Sus scrofa: one gene and its partner. Each later gene encodes a partner of the first gene's protein in a complex. Links are inferred from orthologs where the notes say so. Each region holds a gene or a part of one and is shown on either strand. Other genes may lie near its edges.

Region 1 (6,249 bases):
CTTTTCTTACCTATTTTTTTTTGTTCTACTTTCTGGAAAATTTCATCAACTCAATCTTTTAACTCTCCACTGAATTTTTCATTCTAGTTTTTTTTTCCTTCAAATACTCATGAGTTTTTTTTTTTCTTAATTGGCTATAGAGTTTTTTCTAATGGCACACAGTTCTACGTCAGCAGTTATCTCCTTTTACAACATTAAGAATATTAATCAGGAATTCCTATTGTGGCTCAGTGGTAACAAACCCGATTTAGCATCCATGAGGATGGAGGTTCGATCCCTGGCCCAACTTGGTGGGGTTAAGGATCTGGCGTTGACATGACCTGTGGTGAAGGTCAGAGACTCAGATCTGGCATTGCTGTGGCTGTGGTGTAGGTTAGCAACTGTAGCTGTGAATAAACCCCTAGCTTGGAAACTTCCATATGCCACAGGTGAGGCTCTAAAAAGCAAAAATAAATAAATAAATAAAATATTAATCAGAGTTCCGTCTATAGCACAGTTCGTTAAGAATCCAACTGCAATGGCTCAGGCTGCTGCAGAGGTGCAGGTTTGATCCCCAGCCTGTCACAGTGGGTTAAGGATCTGGCATTGCTGCAGCTGTAGCTCGGATTCAATCCCTGACCTGGGAACTTCCATATGCTATAGGTGAGGCCATTGAAGGAAAAAAATCATAATCATAATTCTGTTGATTACTGAATTATCTGTTTCTGTTGAGTTCTTTTTGCTTCTTTTGATCTCCTGTTACAAAGCTCTCTTCAGGGAGTTCCTGCTGTGGCTCAGCGGGTTACAAACCCGACTAGTAACCATGAGGATGCAGGTTCAATCCCTGGTCTTTCACAGTGGGTTAAGGATCCGGTGTTGCTGTGAGCTGTGGTGTAGGCCACAGATGTAGCTCAGATCCTGTGTTGATGTGGCACAGGCTAGCAGCCATAGCTCTGATTCAACCCCTAGCCTGGGAACTTTATATGTCACGAGTATGGCCCTAAAAAGAAGGAAAAAAAAAAAAAAAAAAACTCTCTTCAAAAGTGTGGTGACACTTGGTAATCCGCTCACTGTTAAGGGTAAAACAATAAGATGCTTAATTGTCACCTCTGTATGCATGAGTGATAGGACTATTTCTCTGGGAAGATGACCAAACATCATCTATCCATCATCTGGAGTATTTTTTGGAATTAATCACTTTCTCCAGAAGGAAAACCTTCAGCCTGGCATATGTAAAACTAGTTAACACTCTAACTGCCTAGAAGTCTAGAAGTCCATCTATTCAAGATGTAAACTTACACTGATGCTCCTCACCTCAACTTTTTCACTACTTAGTATTTTTTGACTCAGTCTCTATAGAGAATTCATCAGCAGCCAGTCTTTGCCTAAATATACAGACTGGGAAGGACAATTTAGGTATATAAACACATCCTATACAGACTGCCAGTCCATTCAGTGTTCAGTTCATGCAAGCCTCCACTCTCACAGGCACCAGGCACCTCCAACCCCGTAGCCTTTCTGGTGTTCTGCAGTGCTGGGTCCTGACTGCCCTTCTGCTGTGCTGAGGTTTCTGCTAGGTCAGTTATGATTTGCTCATCTGCTTTCCAGCTTCTAAAAATTTGTTCTTGCTTCTGTCTCATTTTGCACTCCCTCAATACTACTGGATTTCTATCTTCTAAAACACCTTAACTGTTTTTTGGTGGAGTTTTGAGAAAAAGCTGGGGTAAGTATAACTACCATATGTACAATATTTAAAAGCTTTTACACATTTAAAAAATACTACAAAGGCAAACCAGTAGATCAAAGAGATAGGACTACAGGTGATTTTAGTTTTGTCTCTCCCTCTACTTTCTACATTTGCCAAGGTTTTTGCACAGAATATATATTAGTTTGTAATGGGGGGGTGGGGACTGCATGCTAAAAAAGAAAACTATTTAATAATGAATACAAGCTATAATGTCAAAAATCTCCAGCATCTATGCATTTGGCCCCATATCTTTAGAGGCAGACGTTAGAATGACTTCTAAAAACTAGTACAATTTGAGTAAAGCCTTAAAAGGAATGTTCAAAAATGGAATTAAGTATACAACAGGAATCATTCTCTTGTTAAAAGTCTATTAAAACCTACTTTGGAACAAAACCACCTGCACTCAAAACTCCAGCTTCAGGGCATAATAGCTTTATAACATAAAACAAGTTATTTGAACCCTCTGTGCCATGGTTTCCTTATCTATAAAATGGGATTAATAACAGTACCTACTTCCTAGTGCTGTTGTAATGATTAAAGGAGTTACTGCATGTAAAGCACTTAGAACAGTGTTTAGCAGCACTACTCAGTAAATGCTATTTCATTAACATGACTGCCACATCATTTCAATGAAAAATAATGTTAAGATAAAGTATAAGTTAAACTTTCAGAAAATAAACACTGTACTAACACTTTGAGGTTTTATTTATTGAAAACTAAATAAATAAACCCATCCTTTTCACAAGACACAAAAAAACTGATTATGCATTAAGTTGATGGTATTTAGATGAACATTAACGAAATCGTCAGAATAGTTAAGTTGAAAAATACCTCTGTCATTAAGCGTTTTAGTCCTTCAACTTCATCTTCTCCTGGGTTAAGCTCACCACCTGGTCTGTATAAAGGTTAACAACTTCAGCTTCCAACTTAACACAATTGGGGATCATAGGAAGGACACAATAATCATTTCTATGAAGTACTGTTTAACACATATTTCAGTGTTACACGATAAAGCAATTAAAGCAAACAAATGTCAAGAACGTGCTAGAAAGTCAAATTCATGAGGCTAATTTATCAGACTAACAGTACACAAACCCTAGTTTTAAACAGAAAAAATATATACCGCTACATAAACATCATATAACTGCTGGAAAGCAGTCCATCCCAATCTTTTCTCCGTGGACGCCATCTGGAGACTAGAAATGCCCAGAGAGCAGTGGACCCACACTCTCTAGACCTGAAGAATGGGGCATTTTTCAAGAACTCATTTGAGAATTCTTTAGTACAATCTGGTCAAACAGTTGTGGACTATACATAAACTGAGAGATTTCTAAACTTAAATGAGAAAACTAAACAATTACCTATAAAAATATAAGCCATTTTAAGAATAGCAACACTATTCATCCTAGGAAAGAAATAGTATCAATTGTTCTTAGTAATGCTACAATGACACTTAGAAATTGAACTTGGACTAATTTGTTTCCCAGAAGCTTCTATCAGGCTCAGTCATTAGCATCAACAATATATAGAAACATGCAGATTTCTAGTTAGGCAAAAAATCCTTATGACTTTTTTCCCTGAAGACTCCATATGGAGTTCTCTGGTGGCCTAGCAGGTTAGGGTTCTGGTGTTGTCACTTCTGTGGCACAGGTTGGATCCCTGGCCTAGGGATTCCTGCATGCCATTGGCCAACACCCTCAACAAAACTCCATTAACGGCAATGTTTGTTGTGATAAGTGACTTAGTGCTAAAACTATTTCAAAGCTGCATAAAACAGCAATCCTATTAAAAGCTGTTAATTTCCAATGACACTTACAATTTGAAGAAAGTTGTTCCCAGCTGAAGCAGTAACACATGGGGTAGCCGGTGCTCATGGACAATCAAAACTCCTTCTACAGTCCTCCTCATGCCAATTTTATCAAATTCCTCCCTCATGCGCTGAAATCTGGCGGCAACAGAGCTGTCCTTCTCATAGAGGGGCTCTTTTGTACCAAAAGTATAATTGGTAAGAGGGTACCTATGATCCAAAGACAAATAACTAGTATGACAACTGCAGAACATAATTTACCAGAATACCAACCACACATTAAAAAACCATGGTAAGAAGTGTACATACTGCACTCAGAGACACAGGATTTGTCTGAAGTTAAATAATAAGTTAACAGAAGTTCCCGTCGTGGCTCAGTGGTTAACGAATCTGACTAGGAACCATGAGGTTGCGGGTTCGATCCCTGGCCTTGCTCAGTGGGTTAAGGATGCGGCATTGCTGTGAGCTGTGGTGTGGGTCGAGGATCTGGCGTTGCTGTGGCTGTGGCATAGGCTGATGGCTACAGTTCTGATTAGACCCCTAGCTGGGAACCTCCATATGTCGCGGGTGCGGCCCTAGAAAAGACAAAAGAAAAAAAAAAAATAAGTTAACAAAACAGAAAATATTAGAGTCTAGATCTTTGGACACTAAAGCCAGAGCTTCCATTAGATCAAGTTGTTTACTCCATACCTGAACTTTCAGGCATACACACTATTCATAAAGCCCTTAAATGCTTAGAGGAGGGGCTATCTAAAAAAAAGGTAATCCTCTGGTTTTAAATTATGGACCTATACTAACACTGCCAACCTGGCTGATGTGCCCTTGGGTTCTTCTACTAATCTAATCAGAAATTCTATTAATTTCATGTGCCAATGGCTAATCTCTCTTTTTTGAAAAACTGAGCCACCACTTTCCATCATCTCTCCAGTTATTTTCTACTTCTCCCAGTCAACTATCTTCAGACTTTTCTGGTACGTTTCTTCTTCAGATGAACTTTTCCTTCCCTTCGAGATCTTTCAGCCTTCTGCATTTATTCTATTCAGTAACCTTTTTCTTCCCTTCTCATTTGAATCTTCTGCCCACCAGATGTAATCTGAACAGTCTCTCCTCTCTCAAGAATTCCAAATATGACTTATATTGAAGACAATTTTCTTCTTGCCCAGTAAAGACTTTTCCCCTTAAAGGTAGTTTAAAAACCCATATTTGTAGTTCATCACATGAACTACCTTGTAACCCCTCAATCATAAGCCTTACAGTAAGGAGCCTTTGATTATAAACCTTTGAGTAAGAATGCTTTGGCCATACCTGCCTATCCCCAAAATATCTGTTCTATCAAAACACTTTGCATCAAAAGCCAGAAACTACATAACTAATCTAATTAGCTATCCTGGAAAGGGGAACAAATCAAAGCTGCCAAAACTTTAAAAATTACTTTTTAATTCCAGAAGCCAAAGTCTATGCATAAGTGAAGCAGCTCTAAATAACTAAAATGCACTTTTTCCAGAGTGTAAGATTTTAAGAACATCTCCAGTAGACACACCGTCGTCATTACCAACAGCAATTCCAAACAGCATTGTGTGCCCACAACTTTAAATATGCTTTGTATATGTTAACATTTAGTTCTCACAATCTGAGTTAGAAAGAATTAAAGATAGCTATAACACATCTCTACTGCAAAAGCCAGCTCTCACATCAATGAAGAGATGCCATCAAGATGAAATTTAAGAATTTTCAGAGTTCCCGTCGTGGCGCAGTGGTTAACGAATCTGAACAGAAACCATGAGGTTGTGGTTCGGTCCCTGCCTTGCTCAGTGGGTTAACAATCCAGCGTTGCCGTGAGCTGTGGTGTAGGTTGCAGACGCGGCTCGGATCCGGCATTGCTGTGGCTGTGGTGTAGGCCGGCGGCTACAGCTTCGATTCAACCCCTAGCCTGGGAACCTCCATATGCCGCAGGAGCGGCCCAAGAAATAGCAAAAGAAAAAGAAAAAAAAAAAAAAAAGAAAGAAAGAAATTTAAGAATTTTCAGCTGTGAGTGCCAACCCAAGACACATGTACTATTTCCATCATACTGTGAGCTTGGTAAAGCAGGGACTATACCTAACTTCCTCACCACTATAACCAGCATTATTATGCCCACTGCCTGCTACAAAGTAAGCATTCATGCAGTATTTCATGCAACATTTCCTAATAAAATATACTGGAGAGAAAACTTTTCAATTCAGACCGTTACTCACCCAGATGAACTGAGTTCACAACACACTTCTGACTACTGTGTTTATGTAGGAAAGGAAAAGTACTGCAAATCCATCAATCCCTAACCTTAATGGAGCAAAAATTAAAACATTTCATCAAGTGTCTTCCATATGATGGCCTGATATGAACTGATCCAGCAATCAAAGTAAATCAAGGGAGTTCCCGTTGTGGCGCAGTGGTTAACGAATCCGACTAGGAACCATGAGGTTGAGGGTTCGGTCCCTGCCCTTGCTCAGTGGGTTAACGATCCGGCGTTGCCGTGAGCTGTGGTGTAGGTTGCAGACCCGGCTCGGATCCCGCGTTGCTGTGGCTCTGGCATAGGCCAATGGCTACAGCTCCGATTGGACCCCTAGCCTGGGAACCTCCATATGCCGCAGGAGCGGCCCAAAGAAATGGCAAAAAGACAAAAAAAAAAAAAAAAAAAAAGTAAATCAAGGGTAAACTTTGAGTTCTAGCCTTAATT
Region 2 (6,249 bases), on another chromosome or scaffold:
TACACGCTGCCCTGGACCATGCCGCAGCAACACTGTTCAATTCTCACTCTACGGCACTCCTTCCGGGCTTTCCTTGCAGAGCACCTTTCAGTGCATGTTTAACAAGACTACCGCCGTCTTCATGTACTTGTGCATTTGGTAGTTGCCTCTTAAGAATTTATTATAGACATGTCTTACAACTGTAAGCCCATTTGCCATACACCGATTTTTTTTTTTTAGATAGAAACACATAATTTAGATTTAACAGGAATTTTATACATCGTGTGTCTAGTTCAGATGGGAAAGTAGGCCCTAAGCAGTCAAGTGACTCATCCAAGGTCACACAATGAGTTGGTGGCAGAACCAAACTATAACCTGAACCTTCCTGACTCCTAGCATAGTGGTCTGTCTTACAAACAAGCCTCATTTTTTTTGGCTTACCCATTGCCAGGGTGCCACCCGTAATCACCACCACCCTCCCTCAAACTTCTCCACATTGTAGGCCAAGCCCACCCCACAGAAAACCAACCAACAAGTGCCCCCCTTCATACAGATGGTCTCCACGTACCCCCTCTTGGGACTCGGACGCACTCACGTTTCCGAGCCTGTGCCTCAAACTGTGACAGGTTCTGCCGGGTGGCCGGCCTCACGTCCACTTTTTCTCCATTAAGAACTTTTCCTGGCAGAAGTTCCAACAATTTGTGGACAGAGTTTTCAGAGGCTACCACCACCTCAGCATACCTTGAGAAAGAAAAATTAAAAAAATGAGTGAGATCTACCAGACGACCAAGAGAGGAACACAGAAATTCTCTTCCACTCTTAGTGAACTACCAGCAACGAAAAGGTGTCGGCCTAAAATTTTCCTATTGATTTCGAATGAGAAACCAGCTTTCTCTGCCCCTCAATGGATGGACGTTGCACACTGCAGCTAGGTCCCCATTCTACGGTAGTCTGCCAAAGCCGAGGCAGTAAACTGGGCCAGGGGTGGGAGGGATGACATTACAGGGCCAACATGACAGTACACATCTGTTATCCCAATGGTTACAAACTAAAAGGGGCTTCTCAAATCCGGACCTCACCCTTTGGACTGGCCATTTGCTCGATTCTCTGCAAATTTCAACTCCACCACATCATAGACTCCTATAGAGCGAATAACCTGGATCAGCTGCTGGTCTGTGGTCCACTGGGGCCGGCAAGATGGAAAAGGAAGAAATGTCAAGAGCTACACCCCCTCCCCCAGAATACCCCAAACCCTTCCCCCACACCTAGGATTCTAGTCATCACCATGACCCCCCACAGGAAACCCAGGCCATGGGTATTTCAATCAAGTGCAGATTTTTCCTACCGTCTTCACCCATGGAGAATTCCAAAACCACCTACGCCTGCCTCAACCCCCATCATTAGAGATTAAGAAGATTAAAACCTATTTTAACTTTAACTGCCATTTGGGCTGGCTGGTCAACAGTTTAAACACTGATTACTAGCAGCTTTTGGTTATAGATCTGATAAGCTAGAGTTGATCACTGTCACTAATTTCCCCTCAAGATACATATTTCTTAATTTGAATTTAATTTGACTGGACCACTACCAGTCCCCAAACACGTCACATGATAACTTTTGTTGAATAACAATCACCACCTACCCCAAAAGTACTAAAGCTGTTAAGGTCTTTGATCCCTCTCACCCATCATTATCACAGGACCAACTAATGACTACCAAGAGTTTGAGGTGTCCACTCTGAAATCTCATCCCACAGATGACCCTGGGAGACATAAAGCCCCAGGGTCAGGGGCAGTAACAAGATGGCAGAAAAAGCAACTACCCACTTAATCATTGCTTTCTTCGGCACCAGTACGTCCTCAGGATAGTTCTCTTTCAGAGATCAATCCAACCTGATCCCAGGAAAAAGAAATCCAACCCCATCAGAGCACAAAACAGTGCAACAGTGGTTTTTGAAAATGCCATCACCTCCCAGTGCTCTCCCCCCAGCCCGCCCACAAGCCTTTTTGGTTCTGCATGCTCACCCAGGAGAAACTGCCCACATAGACAGCAGCTCGCCTATTACGCAGGCCACTGTAGGTGTACAGAATCGCAGGGGTCTTGTTATTGGGCTTGGGAGACGGCTCCTGGCGAACAGGAGGAGGTGGCTCAGTGCTGCTGCTTCTGTCATCTGAGGGCTGTGAGGTGGCTGTCAACACGTCATCATACAGGTCAATCTGATCTGTATTGTTGAACTCTGGGTCCTAAGAGATGAGGGGTTGGCAAAGGTGGGTTTGAAAGCCTTTCATTTTGTTCATTCTATTCTACTCTAATTTACTTACAATCCACAGCCAGAGAGTTGATAAAACAATATACACAACTTCCTTATTCTACTCTAGGAAACTAGGAAGAAAAACGTTCCCATTTAAAACATCTTTAACACTTAGTTACGTTTATATAGATGTTTCTTCCAAGACTGGTAGGAGTCTGTGGTGTTTCTAGCTTTTATCAACTGTGAGACTCAAAAGGTACATGATGATTAAATAAGCAAACTAAGAATGCATAGAGATGCACCTGCTACTGCAACCAATGAGGCCAGCTTCTCAAGACCACATCGAAGATAATGAAAATTTATTTTCAACATCATATGCTACTTCCATACACTACTCTATTAGAAATAGAATATACTTATTTAGAAATGGAAAGCAGGGGAAACACATGTTAAAGTGGGAACCAAAATACAAAAGAGAATGGGAGTTACTAGTTTAGACTACTTTTTTTTCTTCTTCCGTGGCCACCCCACAGCATATGGAAATAGAATGGGAGTTACTAGTTTAGACTACTTTTTTTTTTTTTCCTTCCGTGGCCACCCCACGGCATATGGAGTTCCTGGGCCAGGGATGAGATCTGAGCTGCAGCTGTGGCAATCCTTAACCCACTGTGCTGGGCCGGGGACTGAACACGTATACCAGCATTCTAGAGACACCACCGATCCCACTGTGCCACAGTGGGAACTCCTGGTTTAAACTATTTGATTTACACAAACGATTAGGGAAGCTCTAAAACTCATAGTACACAACCCCATCTTTCTATTAACCATCAAAAGAAATTAAAAAACAAAAAGGGAGTAACTAGCGATTTTCCCCTTACAGGTTCCACTTCTCACATGACATGCAGATCTAATGCATTATCGTGACATTTATGAGACATCTTTGAGCAACACCAGAGATGTTCAATGATACACAAAAGCAGTGCAAGAGCTCTAAGATATAAGGGTCAGGAAATGGAACAAGCGCCCATATCATAAGCATTTACAATATGAGCATGTATTCTGCAAGACAGGCAAAGTATACTTTTGCCTATGTAACATACTGCTATTATAGACTGGAAGTCTGTGTCCCCCTACAGAGAGAAACCCTACTCCTCATGGGACGGTATCAGGGGGTGGGGCCTTTGGGAGGTAATTAGGATGGGATGAGGGTGGAGCCCATGAAAGGGGTTAATGCCCTTAGCAGAGTCCAGAGAGCTGCTTGCTCTGCTTTGCTCTTTGTGAGGATACAATTTGGCAGCCTGCCACCAAAAGGGGCTGCTCACCAAAACCTTAGCCTGATCTCAGCCTTCCATCTTTCAGAACTCTGAGGGAAAAACTAGCTGTTGATAAGCTGTTCGGCTTTTGGTATTTTGTTATAGCAGCCCACGTTAACACTCGTATCAAAAATCCTAAAACCACAAGAACTACTATTAAGGGACCTAATGTTTCAGATTTTACAACATCATTATCTCTGAGAGGACCTTTTTATTTTAAGGATCAGACAAATAATTTTTCAGTTAACATTTGAACATATCCAAACAGGGAGTTCTCGCTGTGGCACAGGGGTTAAGAATCTGACTGCAAAGGCCTAGGTTGCTGCAGGTTTGATCCCTACACAGTGGGTTATAGGATCCTGTGCTGCCCAGCTGTGGCATAAGTTGCCAACTGTGGCTTGGATTCAATCCCTGGCCTGGGAACTTCCATAAGCCATGGATGTGGCCATAAAAATAAATAAATAAACAAAATATCCAAACAGTGCTAAATATGATACTGCCAAAATGACAAAGACAGGAAGTCTGGAGTGTTTTAAAGAAACTGCACCTCATTCATGTCATTGCTGTCTTTTAAAAGAGGCAATAAAGAGAGTTCCCACTGTAGCTCAGGGAGTTAAGAACCTGACTAGTATCCATGAGCATGCAGGTTGGATCCCTGGCTTAGCTCAGTGGATTAAGGATCCAGGGTTGCCACAAGCTGTGGCGCAGGTTGTAGATGCGGCTCAATCTGGCGTCGCTGTGGCTGTGGTACACACCGGCAGCTTCAGCTCTGATTCAACCCCTAGCCTAGGAACTTCCATATGCTGCAGGTGCAGCCCTAGAAAGAAAAAAAATACTAAAAATTAAAAATAAAAAAGGGAATAAAGGAAGTGCCCATATTAAGGGAATAAAAAAAGAATTTATATTAGGTAACTTGGTTAGATCCCTGAAGAAAGAGAATCATTTCCCCTAATTCAACTCAGGACAGGAAGCTCCAGTACCACTCTTCCTTCAATACCATCGCAAGAACTGCTATTTCTGAAGTGAGACTGGAGAGAGACTCACTACAAAATGCAATCTTAGACCCCACCATCCATCAGAAACTTTCAGAAACAATCTTTCAGTTTCTCAGAAGTACAAGGGTAGACCTCTGCACACCCAGACAATCCTACTGTCCTGCTGATGGGGGGGGGGGGAGGAGGCTACTTCCTGAGGCATGTAAACAGCTTCAAATATTACAAATACTTAAGAAGCCCAACAGAAGAGGAATTTGAACATTGCTAGGGATTGAACCCAGGCCACAGTAGTAACAATGCTGTATCCTTAAGCTGCTGAGCCATTGGGGAACTCTGAGAGTAAACTTTTTTTTTTGGTCTTTCTGGGCCACACTGGTGGCATATGGAGGTTCCCAGACTAGGGGTCTAATCGGGGCTACAGCTGCCGGCCTACACCACAGCCACAGCAATGCCACATCCAAGCTGTGTCTGCCACCGACACCACAGCTCACAGCAATGCCAGATCCTTAACCCACTGAGTGAGGCCAGGAATCGAACCCGCAACCTCATGGTTCCTAGTCGGATTTCTTTCTGCTGTGCCATGACGTAACTCCTAAAAGTAAACTTTTAAGGGCAACATAGAGCAAGAAAAGGAACCAGGCTCGCACTAACGAGCCCAACTAGCACCCGTGAGGATTATGGGTTTAATCCCTGGTCTTGCTCAGTGGGTTAAGGATCCTGCGTTGCTGTGGGCTGTGGTATAGGTTGCAGATTTGGCTTGCACCGTGTTGCTGGGGCTGTGGTTGCAGCTCCAATTCAACCCCTAGTCGGGGAACTTCCATATGCTGCAGGTGTGGCTTTTAAACTAACAAACAAACAAAAAAACAAGGCAAAGGGAATCAGTGAGGCAAATAAGCCCAAGAAGACTTTAAGTAATCAAATGTGTAAATAAGGACTGCATAAAAAAGGATGAGTATATATGTGAGGAATGGGGAGAAGCTAACATTGGAAAGCACAGAATGGATAATAAATTAAAAAGGTGAAGAAAGCTGGGGTTAATAACTGGACATTTTGTGTGTGAAATACTCCATCCACAGCCTTATGTCTCAATCCTAACTCTAGACAAACCACTTATTTATTCATGTACTAAGAATATTTGCCCTTATGGTTCAGGGTAGAGAAAGGACTTAGAAACCACCCAATCCTCTCCAATGCTCTAATCCTTTGCAGTACCTCACATTTCACACCAGGGCGTGTATATATATATACATATATATATATATATATATATATATATACGTCTATCAAGGATTGTGAAATGGAACTTAAAGGGAATGAGGAAACGACGTCTTGGATGGTCAGTGGAACCAAACTGGAATTCCTTCCATGCGGTATCTGTGATCCAGAGCTGCTTGTCTAAAAGTTGTAAAACATAAACCAGTGCTGATAACTGGGTAGTAAACATGCAGATTTGGACAGCTCAAAGATCAAACATGAAATCCCCCATACTGTAAGCCTAGGCAAACAACCTACTCTTTCAGTGTTCCTCAGAAAATATGATGGACTCAATCCTGGAAAATCCTGGTGTATGGATTACCTTATCACAAGATTCAAACGGTCTCTTTAGACCATAGAGGCCCAGTTCAAACAAGTTTATGGGAACTGTTCTTATTTCTTATGCACAAGGAGGACCTGTTGAAGGTTCTGCTGAAGATTTTATTGAAGAAACAAC

The links. Proteins that work in one complex are often made in the same cells at the same time.
Region 2: the proteins of NUDT21 (region 1) and CPSF7 are in contact, whole or in part, in a crystal structure (PDB 3N9U), measured with the Homo sapiens proteins. The link is inferred for Sus scrofa from reciprocal best matches to the Homo sapiens genes NUDT21 and CPSF7. Residues at the interface, in NP_008937.1 of Homo sapiens: Arg68, Asn152, Glu154, Pro156, Tyr158, Tyr160, Pro162, Ala163, His164, Ile165, Thr166, Lys167; in NP_001129512.1 of Homo sapiens: Trp91, Trp92, Thr93, Thr94, Asp95, Gln96, Glu112, Lys114, Phe115, Glu117, Asn118, Arg119, Ala120, Asn121, Gly122, Gln123, Ser124.

What each region holds. Positions count from the first base shown.
Region 1 is NC_010448.4:29,341,640-29,347,888, reverse strand, and holds part of NUDT21 (cleavage and polyadenylation specificity factor subunit 5), read right to left. Parts: intron 3,744-6,249; coding exon 3,543-3,743; intron 2,622-3,542; coding exon 2,558-2,621; intron 1-2,557. UniProt on the Homo sapiens protein: Component of the cleavage factor Im (CFIm) complex that functions as an activator of the pre-mRNA 3'-end cleavage and polyadenylation processing required for the maturation of pre-mRNA into functional mRNAs.
Region 2 is NC_010444.4:10,092,449-10,098,697, reverse strand, and holds part of CPSF7 (cleavage and polyadenylation specificity factor subunit 7), read right to left. Parts: intron 2,223-6,249; coding exon 2,004-2,222; intron 1,872-2,003; exon of another isoform or gene 1,806-1,871; intron 1,163-1,805; coding exon 1,059-1,162; intron 721-1,058; coding exon 548-720; intron 1-547.